Linked DNA regions of Oreochromis niloticus. The protein of the gene in region 3 purifies or fractionates together with the protein of the main gene of each other region. This does not show direct contact. Links are inferred from orthologs where the notes say so. Each region holds a gene or a part of one and is shown on either strand. Other genes may lie near its edges.

Region 1 (3,753 bases), on a different chromosome or scaffold from region 3:
AGAGTAGATTTCTCAAGAATCCCAGACCCCCTCTTCAGCCTGTGAAAGTTTGTGGGGTGGACATAGAGATGGTAACAAAATATAAATATCTAGATTATACCTAGATAACAATCTAAACTGGTCCCCAAATACCAACCTATACAAAAAGGGGCAAAGTTACCTCTTTTTGTTAAGAAAACTAAAATCTCTTGATCACAAGTAAAATGTTAAAGATCTTTCAGTCTATGATGGCAATTGTGCTGTTCTATGCTGCAGTCTGCTGGGGAGGCAGCATGAGTAACAAGGATGCAAGGAGACTGGACAAACTAGTGAGAAAAGCTGCCCTGGATCACAGCAGGTAAATGTAAGAAAATAAGATGTATTTAATCTTATATTCTGCCAGCCCTAAAAATAAAAGATTGTGCAGATGTTGGGTCAATATTCTGCTTAGATAAACAGAATTTTTTGCTTTCATGCAAGATCGATGACATGTGCAAGCCACATTTTTAATGAAAACGTATTTAGATTCTTCTTCTTTTTTTTTTTTTAGATTGATTGCTGGTACCTTACACTAAATACAAATACAAAATATATGTTATCTTGGAAGTAAATTTAAGTTCTAATCTGTAAAATGGCATAAAAGTATTTTTACTGCTTCAACATTTTTATTTACAATATTAAGTATCGGAAAATATAACTGAAATAATCCTTTAAATATCCATTTTCAAACAAACTAAACAACCAAACAACTGTCTTTGTCCTGAGACCTAGTTTAGGACTTATTGTTCTAGAAACATCTTTACAACAAAGAAATATTCCACACAAACACAAATTTCTTACTTTTTCTTTGTGTGTTATATCCGAACTAACTGTGTCAGTAATTCACGAAAAAAAATAGCTTCATTTTCTGAAGCTAATGTATTACGCTTCCCTACCTTTTTTGGTTTTCAGGGGACAGAATTACAATACGCACACGCTTCCTGGTGGAGCTACCCCCCTCCCCTGCGAAGAATCAAAATACATTCCTAGCAAGCCAGCTACACAAGTTGTCAAAAAGTTATGCTTGTTTGTCAAGTGGATAGACAAAAGAGTTTTTATAAAAATGGACGTTATTCCAGTTTTATTCTTACATGAATAGTAGAAAATCTCCCCATGTCCACATAACCGGCAGTGGTGACAAGTCATCTACGAAGAGTTGGATTGTTGAAGCTAAGAAAGTCCTGGTAGCTAGCAACCGGGCCAGCCAGCTAACGTAAGCTGCTATTTTAACAGGCCTCGAATTGCTTGTCTTTTTTAAGGTTGTGTTGTGACAATGTCAGACTCTGGTGAGGAATGGTGTGGTCTTATTCTGTCGTCCCAGATCTTTAATTATGCAAAAAGCTAACTTTAAACACTTCTTTTCACCAGTAGTTTTTCGTAGCAGTTGCAGAACTGAGCTAGTTATGCTATGCGGTTAGCCTTGACTGCATCAAGGAAACTGACAGGAGGCTAACGCCGATCCGTTTTTCGGTGCTTGACAGCTGGCGAAGGAATGACAATTTGCCATTTTTGAAGGCTTTAACGTGTTTGTTTTATTGAGTAGCCATGTCTCCTGACGGCATCAGTCTTAATTACGCAGTTACGGTAAAGAAATACGACTGCGTAATTGCAATTGATGTCTTGAAACCTATCTAAGTATCCCTGTGCTGATTTATTTAATATTTATTAATATTGAGCTTTTTACCTGTGTGTTGTTTGCTCGTTTTCATAGTAAGTTACTAGCTGACCTAAGCTAGTAATGTCTCTATCGTTACCACCAGCGGATATGCTTGAAACACCACCTGGGTATCCCTTTGAAGAAATCAATTATGAGGATATTGAAGTTGAGGAGGTAATTTGTGATTATTTTTGCTGTTTTCCTTGTCACTAGCGCATGACAAGAGTTAGTATCAGCTCGATGAAGCTCTTACCTAGTGAGTGTAACTTTGATGCTAACTACCTGTTCTCAGGTGGTGGGGAGAGGAGCTTTTGGGGTCGTCTGCAAAGCCAAGTGGAAAGGAAAAGATGTTGCAATCAAGACTATTGAGAGTGAATCAGAGAGGAAAGCCTTTATTGTTGAGGTATTTTTTCGTTACTGAAATATTCTCAAGATTATTTCAACAGCCTACCTGTGTGTAACCTTTCCTTTTCATCTCCAGCTCCGACAACTTTCACGTGTGAATCACCCCAACATTGTGAAGCTGTATGGCTCTTGCAATAATCCAGTAAGTTCACTGGGATCACAATGACTATTTGGTCTATTTGGTTGATTTTGAGTTTTTGATGGTGTTCTTTCCACCTCAGGTTTGCCTTGTGATGGAATATGCAGAAGGTGGATCATTATATAATGGTGAGTCAATATGTTTACTAGAAAACAGTATGGTTGTGTTACATGTTATACCATTTATTTTGCTTTGCTAGTAATGAACACGGCTTTGGACAGACACAGCCCTGTTGAGTTGATCCTCCAGTTGTTTGCATGTTCAGCCACTTTTCTGATTCGTTAGAAGTCCGTGTTTGCACAGCGACATGCAGCCCCTACACTAAATATTCAGATAGACCTGAGAACTGGTGGGGTATAAAATTGATCAGTATAAAAATCATTTGTGTGCATACAGTTAAGACAGTTAAATTAACATTTTCAGTAAGAATGAAAATTGAGTATTTAAACCTTCTGCAAATAAATCGCATACATATATTTCTTACAGCCTCATTTTCAAATAAGTTAAAAGACTTTGTCAAATGTAAATATCAAACTGTATATTTAGTTCAAAAGTTACAAAGACATATCACATACATATATATATGCGCCTCCCGGAGTATCGGGAACCAGCTGATAGGCACTCTTGTTGCCATGCAGATGATAAAACACATAATGGAGTGCATTAATCTGCAGGAGCTTCTGTCTTGCCGACCATTATTATCCCATGTATGTCTAGGCTTGTTGTTTCTTATGTTTACCCTGAGTGCTTTTATAAGCAATTTGTTATCATGTAGCAGCAGAGTCTGGAATTATTGGATGTCCGATAGGGGCAGGTTTATTTGAATTTTTACGCCTAATAATGGCCTCTCTTTCTTCCCTTTCTTGCGAAATCTCTTTTCCCCTAACTTTCATACAGTGAAAAACCATGAAAAGCAAATTCAACACTTCAGAAATGAAATATCGTGAAATAAGAGGGGAGCAGCCCTCACCTGGCCAGGAAACTACTCATCAGTTAGTTGTCTCGAAAATTTTGAACCTCTGAAAAAGGGGGACGAATTTAAATCTCGGTGACCTCAAGTGAATGGTCAAGTTTTTGAAAATGTTGTGAATGTGATAACTCAAGAGTGAAGCCATTTTTTTGTTTAAAAAAAATTGAATTAAAAATGTTTCCACTTCAGGCTCGACTGTTTGATTTATAATTCATTGTGGGTAGCGTTCAGAGACAAAACTTCAAAAACTTGTGTCTTAAACATTATGGAGGGCACTGTTAGTACTAATTTGTATCATGTTCATAAAATATTCTGCGCTCAGTTGTACTTACAATTTGCCAGAATTGTTATGGGGGCAAATTTCGCTGAATTGCTAGGTCACACTTCAGTGAGTTGGGAGTTTTCCCCTCGTGGCCATCAGGTTTGCTTGGATGAGGTTTTGGGACAAAGTAGTTTGCTGTTCTTAGTGGTTTGCTTATAAAACTGTTTCATAAACTACATTTTTGGACATAGTTTTGTGGGACATTGCAAAGATAACAAACGCTGAGAACTATTGAAAAGTCC
Region 2 (3,753 bases), on a different chromosome or scaffold from region 3:
ACAATTCACTGATATTTCTGCTGTTGAGAGAAGCACGCCAAGCGTTAGCATGCAGGAGATAATAGCAAGAGATAAAATTGCACTGAGGTTTACTGAGATTTTTGCTGAATCTATTATTCTCTTACTCTCTTTGAGTGCCCTGCTGGTCGCTTGTAGGGGACTTGATGACTTCTCAGTGACTGAGCAGGTCAAGCCATGACTGGGTTGGTCTCTCAGTCTGACGTAACAGCCGCAGTCTCTGCAGAGCTCAGTGCGGCTCCCACACACCAAGCTGTGTCCGTCCAGCTCCTTCGATGGCACCTCCAGGTCACAAAACTGGCATGCCTGCAGACGCTCCACACACTCATCAGCCTGTGAGACAGTGAAAAGCACAGTTAGACTGATAACTAGGATAACTAGGGCTCGCCCATGTGGGCAGCTGCAAGTTTAACTTGAGCATGAAGGTGTGGATTCTGTTTTGGTCAGAACCATCTCAGTCCATGGCGATGTACTGAACTCTCTTCACCATTGACAGTGATGGTGGTGTTCCAGCACTTTCCAGTTCATGGCAAGCTAGAGCTTAAGCTTGTCAAAAGGACATTGTGCAACCTTCAGCTCAACTTACTCAAAGTAAAGTAAACTGAGTGCAAAGTGCTACTTGTTAAGGCACATTTAATCAAATATTAGTGGGGTGCATGTAAATATTTGAGCCTGTATATGTGTAATCTTGAGTGGCTTTGAGAAAATCCAAAATAGATTTAATAAATGATTAAAAGCCCCAAATCACCTTGACATCCATGCCCATGATGATGAGTGAATGTAACCTTCTGACCACAGCTGCAGATTTGTCACTATGTTGTTCTAATGTGTCTGAATGTCTACCTAAGTAGTGGTGTTGGATTCACCTCATGATCCATCAGCTGACAACGTTCCATCTTCTTGTTGCACTTGGAGCAGCTCACCTGATAACAAGCAAAGTTGCAGATTTACATAGAATGCATGGTGCTGTGTCTGTGCGTCGTGTACGTGTTTTACTTTTTCACTTTGTAAGAACACCAACTCTTTTTAAAACAAAGTAAACACTGGAATAGCTCATAAATCTCACTGCCTTCATGTTGAGTTGTTACCTACATTTTGCCCAATAATTGAGGGATCCATCCCTGATACACAAAACTACTCTCAGCTGCTTCCTTTTATTCACCAGGGGTCACCACAGCAGGGAGATCCAGGGAGTGTTTGATGTGGCACATTTTTTTTTACACCTGATGATCTTCCTGACATGACCCCCAAAAGCATTTATATCTCCCCCTAGGACTGAACTAGCGAGCAGTCACTTGTTCGGCAAATATGCAAACTGCTCACTACACAGACACATGCTGATGCACAAAAGGTAAAAAAGGGTGTACCAACGCGCAGGAAATGACAGCACTCTGTATGTGGCCTCTGGACCGATGCTGATCTCCATGAAGTGGATGTGTGTGAATAAACGGCTTCACCGTGTTTGTACCTCTGCATGCTGTTCCTCTCTGTGCTCCTTCAGCTGATCCCTGGGAACTGATTCATTGCAGTCCGGACAGACACATAGGAATCGGCTGCAGTGCGTCTCATGTAGAGCGAAGTTGGCTTCAGCAACCTCTTTGTGGCTTAAACCACAAAAGAAGGAAAGACGTATGTCATTTTGTAGCGAGGGAAGTTAGATTCAAAAACAAACAAACACAGATATAAAGTATGTACCCGAGAACCACATTTCTGTGCTCAGCTGTCCTACTGAATGCGACTATAGGAGGTGACAGGTATGCCCTGCCTGTAATACAGCTGGACTCTCTTTTTTGGACTGTCCTGCTACATGTTAACACAGTAGAAGCACAGGGAAGTGTTCAGTGGTCGAGAGGAGAAAAATATGCTGATTTATTATTGCTTACAATCAGTTAGAGATGAGACACACCTTATCCAGTGAAGCAGTAACAGTAGGTCATATCTTTATTAGAGAGAGCCTTCCTGAAAACGAAACTAAGACTGCCTGTGATTCACATAAACTGTCAGACTGTGCGACGTACTCACGCAGTTTCCATTAAGCAGCAGCTTAACTGAAGCAGAGCGCAGTATGGGCTTAATACACAGTGAAAGGGTGGACTGACTCTAGCTTTCTGAGACTGAGCCCTCTTTAGAAAACAGTTTTAAAGCATTTTACCGTTCCATATCACTTTTCAGTCACCGAAACCATACTTGGTTTGCAAACTTCTAACAAAGACTTTTATATATGAGCAGATCAGGACAATGTGTCTCTTTCTTTGTGACATAATTGCCATTCTGACACTCACTCTGTTCAGTTTTTTGACTCCAATCTCTTCACCTTACGTGGTGGTTTATTCACATTCACTTTCCGGTTATCAAATTAATTGTAAACAATCATTTAAAAGTACAACTTTTAAATGAAAGTTCCACTTCAGACAAAGCTGTCACATGACACTAACTCACCACTGGCCGCAGGTGCGTGTTGCCTCCTTGTCTTCCATAAAAATGATCCGAGTGTGGAAGATTAATCTGAAATGTCTGACTGCTCTCACAACTTGGGTATTGCTTCCCCAAAAAAGAAAGTGAAAACATCTAGCGGTTGTTTACAGGTTGCTATTGCGGACACCTGCCACAGAGGGGCGAGCGCGAGTTCTAAATATGTTTTCAGTGGCAGTTTCAGTTTGTACATATTCAATTTATTGAATTTGACCGCTTTGTTACGAAATTACTCCTTACTTATTTAGGGACGTGTTTTTATTTACATTTTTATTAATATTTTAACATTTACCACCTTAAAACATGTAGTGAAAAATAACACATGTATATATATACAATAATATGTGATGAATATATGAATACATGATTATATCTGATGTTACTGTATTCTTCTGGTTGACTGTGGAAAGAGGTATAACAATACTTAACAAGTCATACTCTCTCCTAAATTTCACTTATCGGTTTACTCTTTGTTAAAATGTGATAGATAGTTCTAAAGTGAGCACATCCATACAGGATGTGACAACAACAACAGGACCTGTTGTTGGCTGAGGAAGAGTCTGCAGCTCTTGTTACAGACACATCCCAACTGGTCATATCTAGGGACCAAACCCAGGGATTCCTAAAGAGGATCAATCCCACTCAGCACCTGTAAGTGCCCCAGAGGAAGTGCTGGGCGTTCTGAGAGGAGATCATGTTGTGGCAAGAATTGCACTCTTTAGTGAGTGTGGTGTGTGACACTCTTAGTCTGTTGCACATCCTAAATCTCACCATTTTCCACTTGCACACGGAGAGAAAACTGCATCATTCTCACACAGGTAATACAGGTAATCCTGTTAAATGAGACAAGGTGGAATTTAGCGATTTGTTACAACGATGGTTGTTATCCAAAAGAAAGAAGAGCTGGAATTTGACTCTTGTTTGAACCAGATGTTCTTCTCTCAGTTTTTCCCCATGCAGCTCCTCTGCTGTGGCAGCTGGCAACACTGATGTAAGAGAGAGAAGAAGAGCAGCGGGCCTCCAGTGAGGAGGTGATTAGGTTCCGGAACCAGCTCCAGGAGGCTTAACAAGAGACCGAACTCACACAGAGGTGCAGGGGATGGGTGGGAGGGTTGGAGGGCACTGGGGACAATAATACTACAATACTACAATGACAGGATAAGCTGTTCATGTTTCTGTTTTTACTGGCAACGGTGCCATTTGATTGAACGTTTGTAATTAGCATCAGTGCTGCTTGAGAAATGCTCTTTCCAAAAGTTAGAA
Region 3 (3,753 bases):
ATTTAAATTATTTTCCTTTGGTATTAAGAGGCCAAAAGTGTGCCATTTCAGCATCATCAGCAGCTGCTTGGACCACTGATAAAAGCCAGGCTGGATCCACTATCTTATCTTGTTTAATCCAAATGTACAAACATGTTCTCAGCTGACAAGGAGTGCCATCAGGTGTAGTCTACTGCTGAGTCTCATCTACCTCAAAGTTCATTGTGTGTTCAATACATTACAAAGAACAACATACCGAGGTGTGGCGTTCATACCAGAGTATGCGCTTCTTCATACCTTGCGTGTACCTTCTTAGCAGCTTGAAACAATCTGTGTAGAGAACTGGCATTCATTGAATAGTTTTTCTTCTTTTTTGTTTATTTATTTATTAAATACCAGTATTGCAGGAAAATCCTAGTAGATTAGCAGTTTATGATCAGATTTGCCCATCTTGCACCAGCAGCCGTGTTTAAATCACCCTTCTTCCCCATTCTGATGCTCAGTTTGAGGTCGTTTTTACCATTTCTGCCATTTTCCTAAGTGCATTGACTTGCTGCCCTGTGACTGGCGGATTAGATAGGAGATACATTTAAATTAAACAGCGTAGCTGACAGCTGAAATGCAACCAAATCAGAAAACGGACTACAAATGTAGCTTGTTGGCTTATAAACATAGCTCTCCTAAGCCATTTTGAGCGAAAAAAACCCCCCATTCTGATCAGAACGTAGAAGCTGCATTTTTAAATGCAAGATGACTCTTATATAAGTAATCCAGGTTAAAAAAAATAATTAACATCAAAAATTTCTTTTTCCAAGATATCTGGGCAAACACAGATATTGCTGGAAAACCACCAGGCCACAACCCTTTCCTGACGTCACCTGATTAGGTGGTTTTCACTTCCTGACAGGGAGGTCACAAAAGACTTCACCGGAGTCTCCTTTCCGAGGTGTTCACACTCTACACTGACTGGAGAAAACAGAGGAGCTGTGTTGAAAGGTAAACATTTAAAATGTTATTATATTCGATATGTCACTGTGTGACCTAGCTAGCGTTGCGTAAAAAGGCTAAGCTAATGTAGCTACCAAGCACTCTGAAGCTAGCATTCGCGATTCCGCTTACGAGCCTAGCAGTACAGATCAAAAGCACAGGTCAGAGTCCAAGATTGTCGTCTTGGGTGTTTACATTTTACATATAAAAGCACCTTTAGGTAACTGTATTGACTAATTTCTAACTGAACGAAAACACGGTGTGGGTTTAGCGAGGTCTTTGCTGTCATCAGCGCTGTTGCTCTCGGCGTTTCCCAGAAACAGTACGGCGTCTGTGTCGCTTTCAACTGAAGCAAAGCTGTGAGGCCTTTGTGGAATTTGCTGGGGGGTCAAATCGTCGCCAATCTGATCATTAATACATACTAAAAGCAACACGTGGAACTGCTAATGGGGAAAACTCCCCTGTCGCTTACTTTCGGTTAGATGTCGTGCGCAGTCAAAAAGTGAGTATTTTAATGCGTGGGACGATGCAGTCTTGGCTCAAGTTAAAAAAAAATAAATAAATAAAGGGATGACGCTGGCGATTGATTTACTTGAAATAATGCAGACACGTAAAGACAGTTCAAAGATCGCATCCCATCAATACAGCAACGGATCAGCTGATAAACAGCTGTTTAAGCAACTGACCCAGCACGCAGTCACCGATTAAACGGTTGTTTAATCGGCGACTGTGTGCTGTCGTTGGATGATAAGTCCATTTTGCGTCAAGCTGTGACACTGAATGACGCTGAGGAATGTGAAGATTCTGAAATCATAGTTTCACGCAGAAAAGCATTGAGTTATGTTACAGCAATGCGAAGGCGTTAACAAGTCAAACCCTTAACATAAGAGGCAGTAAGGCGTGCTTCTCATGATGTGTTGCTACATGATTTACTTGTTGGTAATGCACAAGGTGAGCTCCTAAATTAAATTACCACACCTCTCTACTGCTTCAGCAGTAATACTGATGTGTTATTTTGTGGCTTGTGCTTTAAACTGCTGCATATCATCCTTAGGTTGCTCTCTTTCCTCATATTCTGCATTGCAAGGATGTCAAACTCATTTTTCTTCTAAGGCCACATACAAGCTAACTTTAGACCTCAAACCCAGTGAAACTGCCCTTACTCTCAGCCTTAAGAAGTTTAACTGCAAAATCTCATCCTTGAGGTATCAAAGAAGGGTGATTTCAACAGTACTTCTCAAATTTTCTTCAGGCCATAGAAACACTGCTGCAGTAGATTTAAAAAACAAAAAACAAAATCTGTCAGCACAGCTCTCCAGGGTTAAATTGTAAGGGATAAATGCATAAACTTTCAGAAGTTCTGGCAGCTCATTTCTCAGACTGTACTGTAATTGTAAAGGAGAAAGTTTCTGTTAATTCACAGAAAATGCTTGCCTCCTCTCTTTAAAAAACAAAACAAAACTCTGGAGACCTTTTGAAAAGAAAAAACAGACATTATTATTATTATTATTATTATTATTATTATTATTATTATTATTGTAGACAGAAAAAACAGGAACTATTCTGTCATTTAATTGTTTATCTATTACTTAATTACTTTGGTGTATTATGAATGGGGAGGTCTCTGTCAATAGGAAAAGCAGTAAAACTACAGTCAAAAGCCCAAAATATATTCCTTCTTTCACATTTTCCAAAGCTGTCCGGCGAGCTGAATTGGAGCCTTTGCCAGGCTGTTTCTGGCCCCTGGGCCTTTTGTTTGAGGTCTCTGCTGCATTGTATCTTCAAGCGGTATAACCTTTTACGTGGTTTAATATGCACTGTGTTTGTAGACAAACCTGCCTCTCCAGTGCCCATCCCTCACATGGAACATTCAGTTCCTGCATGTGATAACAGGCTGGCATTCTCTTAAAGGTACAGAGACCCTGCAGATGTGCAGATTGGCTCTCTGGCGCCAGACATGGAAATGCGGGAATTTAACCACTGAAGTGTCTGTTTACAAACAAACAAGCAAATGAGGACACTGTACCGTTTAAACAAAAACCAAAAACCAACAAACATATTCTGTTTCTTTCTATTTGCAGATCATCTGTCCATCAAGTTAACAAATCCCTACAGCTTCCTGTTTCAATCATGTGTGATGTAAGTGAAGATGGCGTTTGGGAGACGGACAATGCGCCTGATTTTTCCTCGTTGAAAAGACGCATAGACTCATTCCGTGGCTCCAACCTTGCTAACAAGGTGCCTGCGGAAACACTGGCACAGGCTGGTTTCTTCTACACCGGCGAGTCTGACCGTGTCCGCTGTTTCAGCTGTAATATGACTGTGGATAATTGGTACAGAGGAGACAGACCTGTAGACAAGCACATGCAGGTAATCAAACTTGTAACATGAAAAAGTCGAAGTGGTTAATATTTCACTTTTTTTTGTCTGTTTGGTTTTCTTCCACATTGATCCAATTCTACTTTTCTCATTCTCACAGTTTTCTCCATCATGCATGTTTCTTACCTGCGTCCACCGTACCAGTTTTAACCAGAATTCCAATACTGCAGTAATCAGTGAAGAAGTAGGAGACATGGAATATCGTTTGAGAACAGGAGAAGTGGTTGATGAGGCCACCTACCCTATATTTCCTCACATGAGAAATGAAGAAGCCCGACTTCGGACCTTCTCTTCTTGGCCCAACAGTGCTCCGGTGAGACCCAGAGATCTGGCCCAAGCCGGTTTCTTTTACGTGGGGCAGGGTGACAAGGTTCAGTGTTTCTGCTGTGGTGGTCGGCTGAATGGGTG

What was found.
Region 1: the proteins of xiap (region 3) and map3k7 purify together in Homo sapiens (affinity purification with western blotting; 3 studies listed by BioGRID). This does not show direct contact. The link is inferred for Oreochromis niloticus from reciprocal best matches to the Homo sapiens genes XIAP and MAP3K7.
Region 2: the proteins of xiap (region 3) and xaf1 purify together in Homo sapiens (affinity purification with western blotting; 5 studies listed by BioGRID). This does not show direct contact. The link is inferred for Oreochromis niloticus from reciprocal best matches to the Homo sapiens genes XIAP and XAF1.

What each region holds. Positions count from the first base shown.
Region 1 is NC_031980.2:29,212,408-29,216,160, reverse strand, and holds the start of map3k7 (mitogen-activated protein kinase kinase kinase 7), read left to right. Parts: upstream 1-969; 5' UTR 970-1,231; intron 1,232-1,298; exon of another isoform or gene 1,299-1,602; intron 1,603-1,729; 5' UTR 1,730-1,756; coding exon 1,757-1,849; intron 1,850-1,967; coding exon 1,968-2,078; intron 2,079-2,156; coding exon 2,157-2,222; intron 2,223-2,301; coding exon 2,302-2,347; intron 2,348-3,753. UniProt on the Homo sapiens protein: Serine/threonine kinase which acts as an essential component of the MAP kinase signal transduction pathway. Plays an important role in the cascades of cellular responses evoked by changes in the environment.
Region 2 is NC_031979.2:5,882,741-5,886,493, forward strand, and holds the start of xaf1 (XIAP-associated factor 1), read right to left. Parts: upstream 2,615-3,753; 5' UTR 2,496-2,614; coding exon 2,458-2,495; intron 1,623-2,457; coding exon 1,487-1,622; intron 942-1,486; coding exon 885-941; intron 352-884; coding exon 126-351; intron 21-125; coding exon 1-20. UniProt on the Homo sapiens protein: Seems to function as a negative regulator of members of the IAP (inhibitor of apoptosis protein) family. Inhibits anti-caspase activity of BIRC4. Induces cleavage and inactivation of BIRC4 independent of caspase activation.
Region 3 is NC_031966.2:30,959,669-30,963,421, forward strand, and holds the start of xiap (E3 ubiquitin-protein ligase XIAP), read left to right. Parts: upstream 1-818; 5' UTR 819-975; intron 976-3,047; 5' UTR 3,048-3,096; coding exon 3,097-3,336; intron 3,337-3,445; coding exon 3,446-3,753.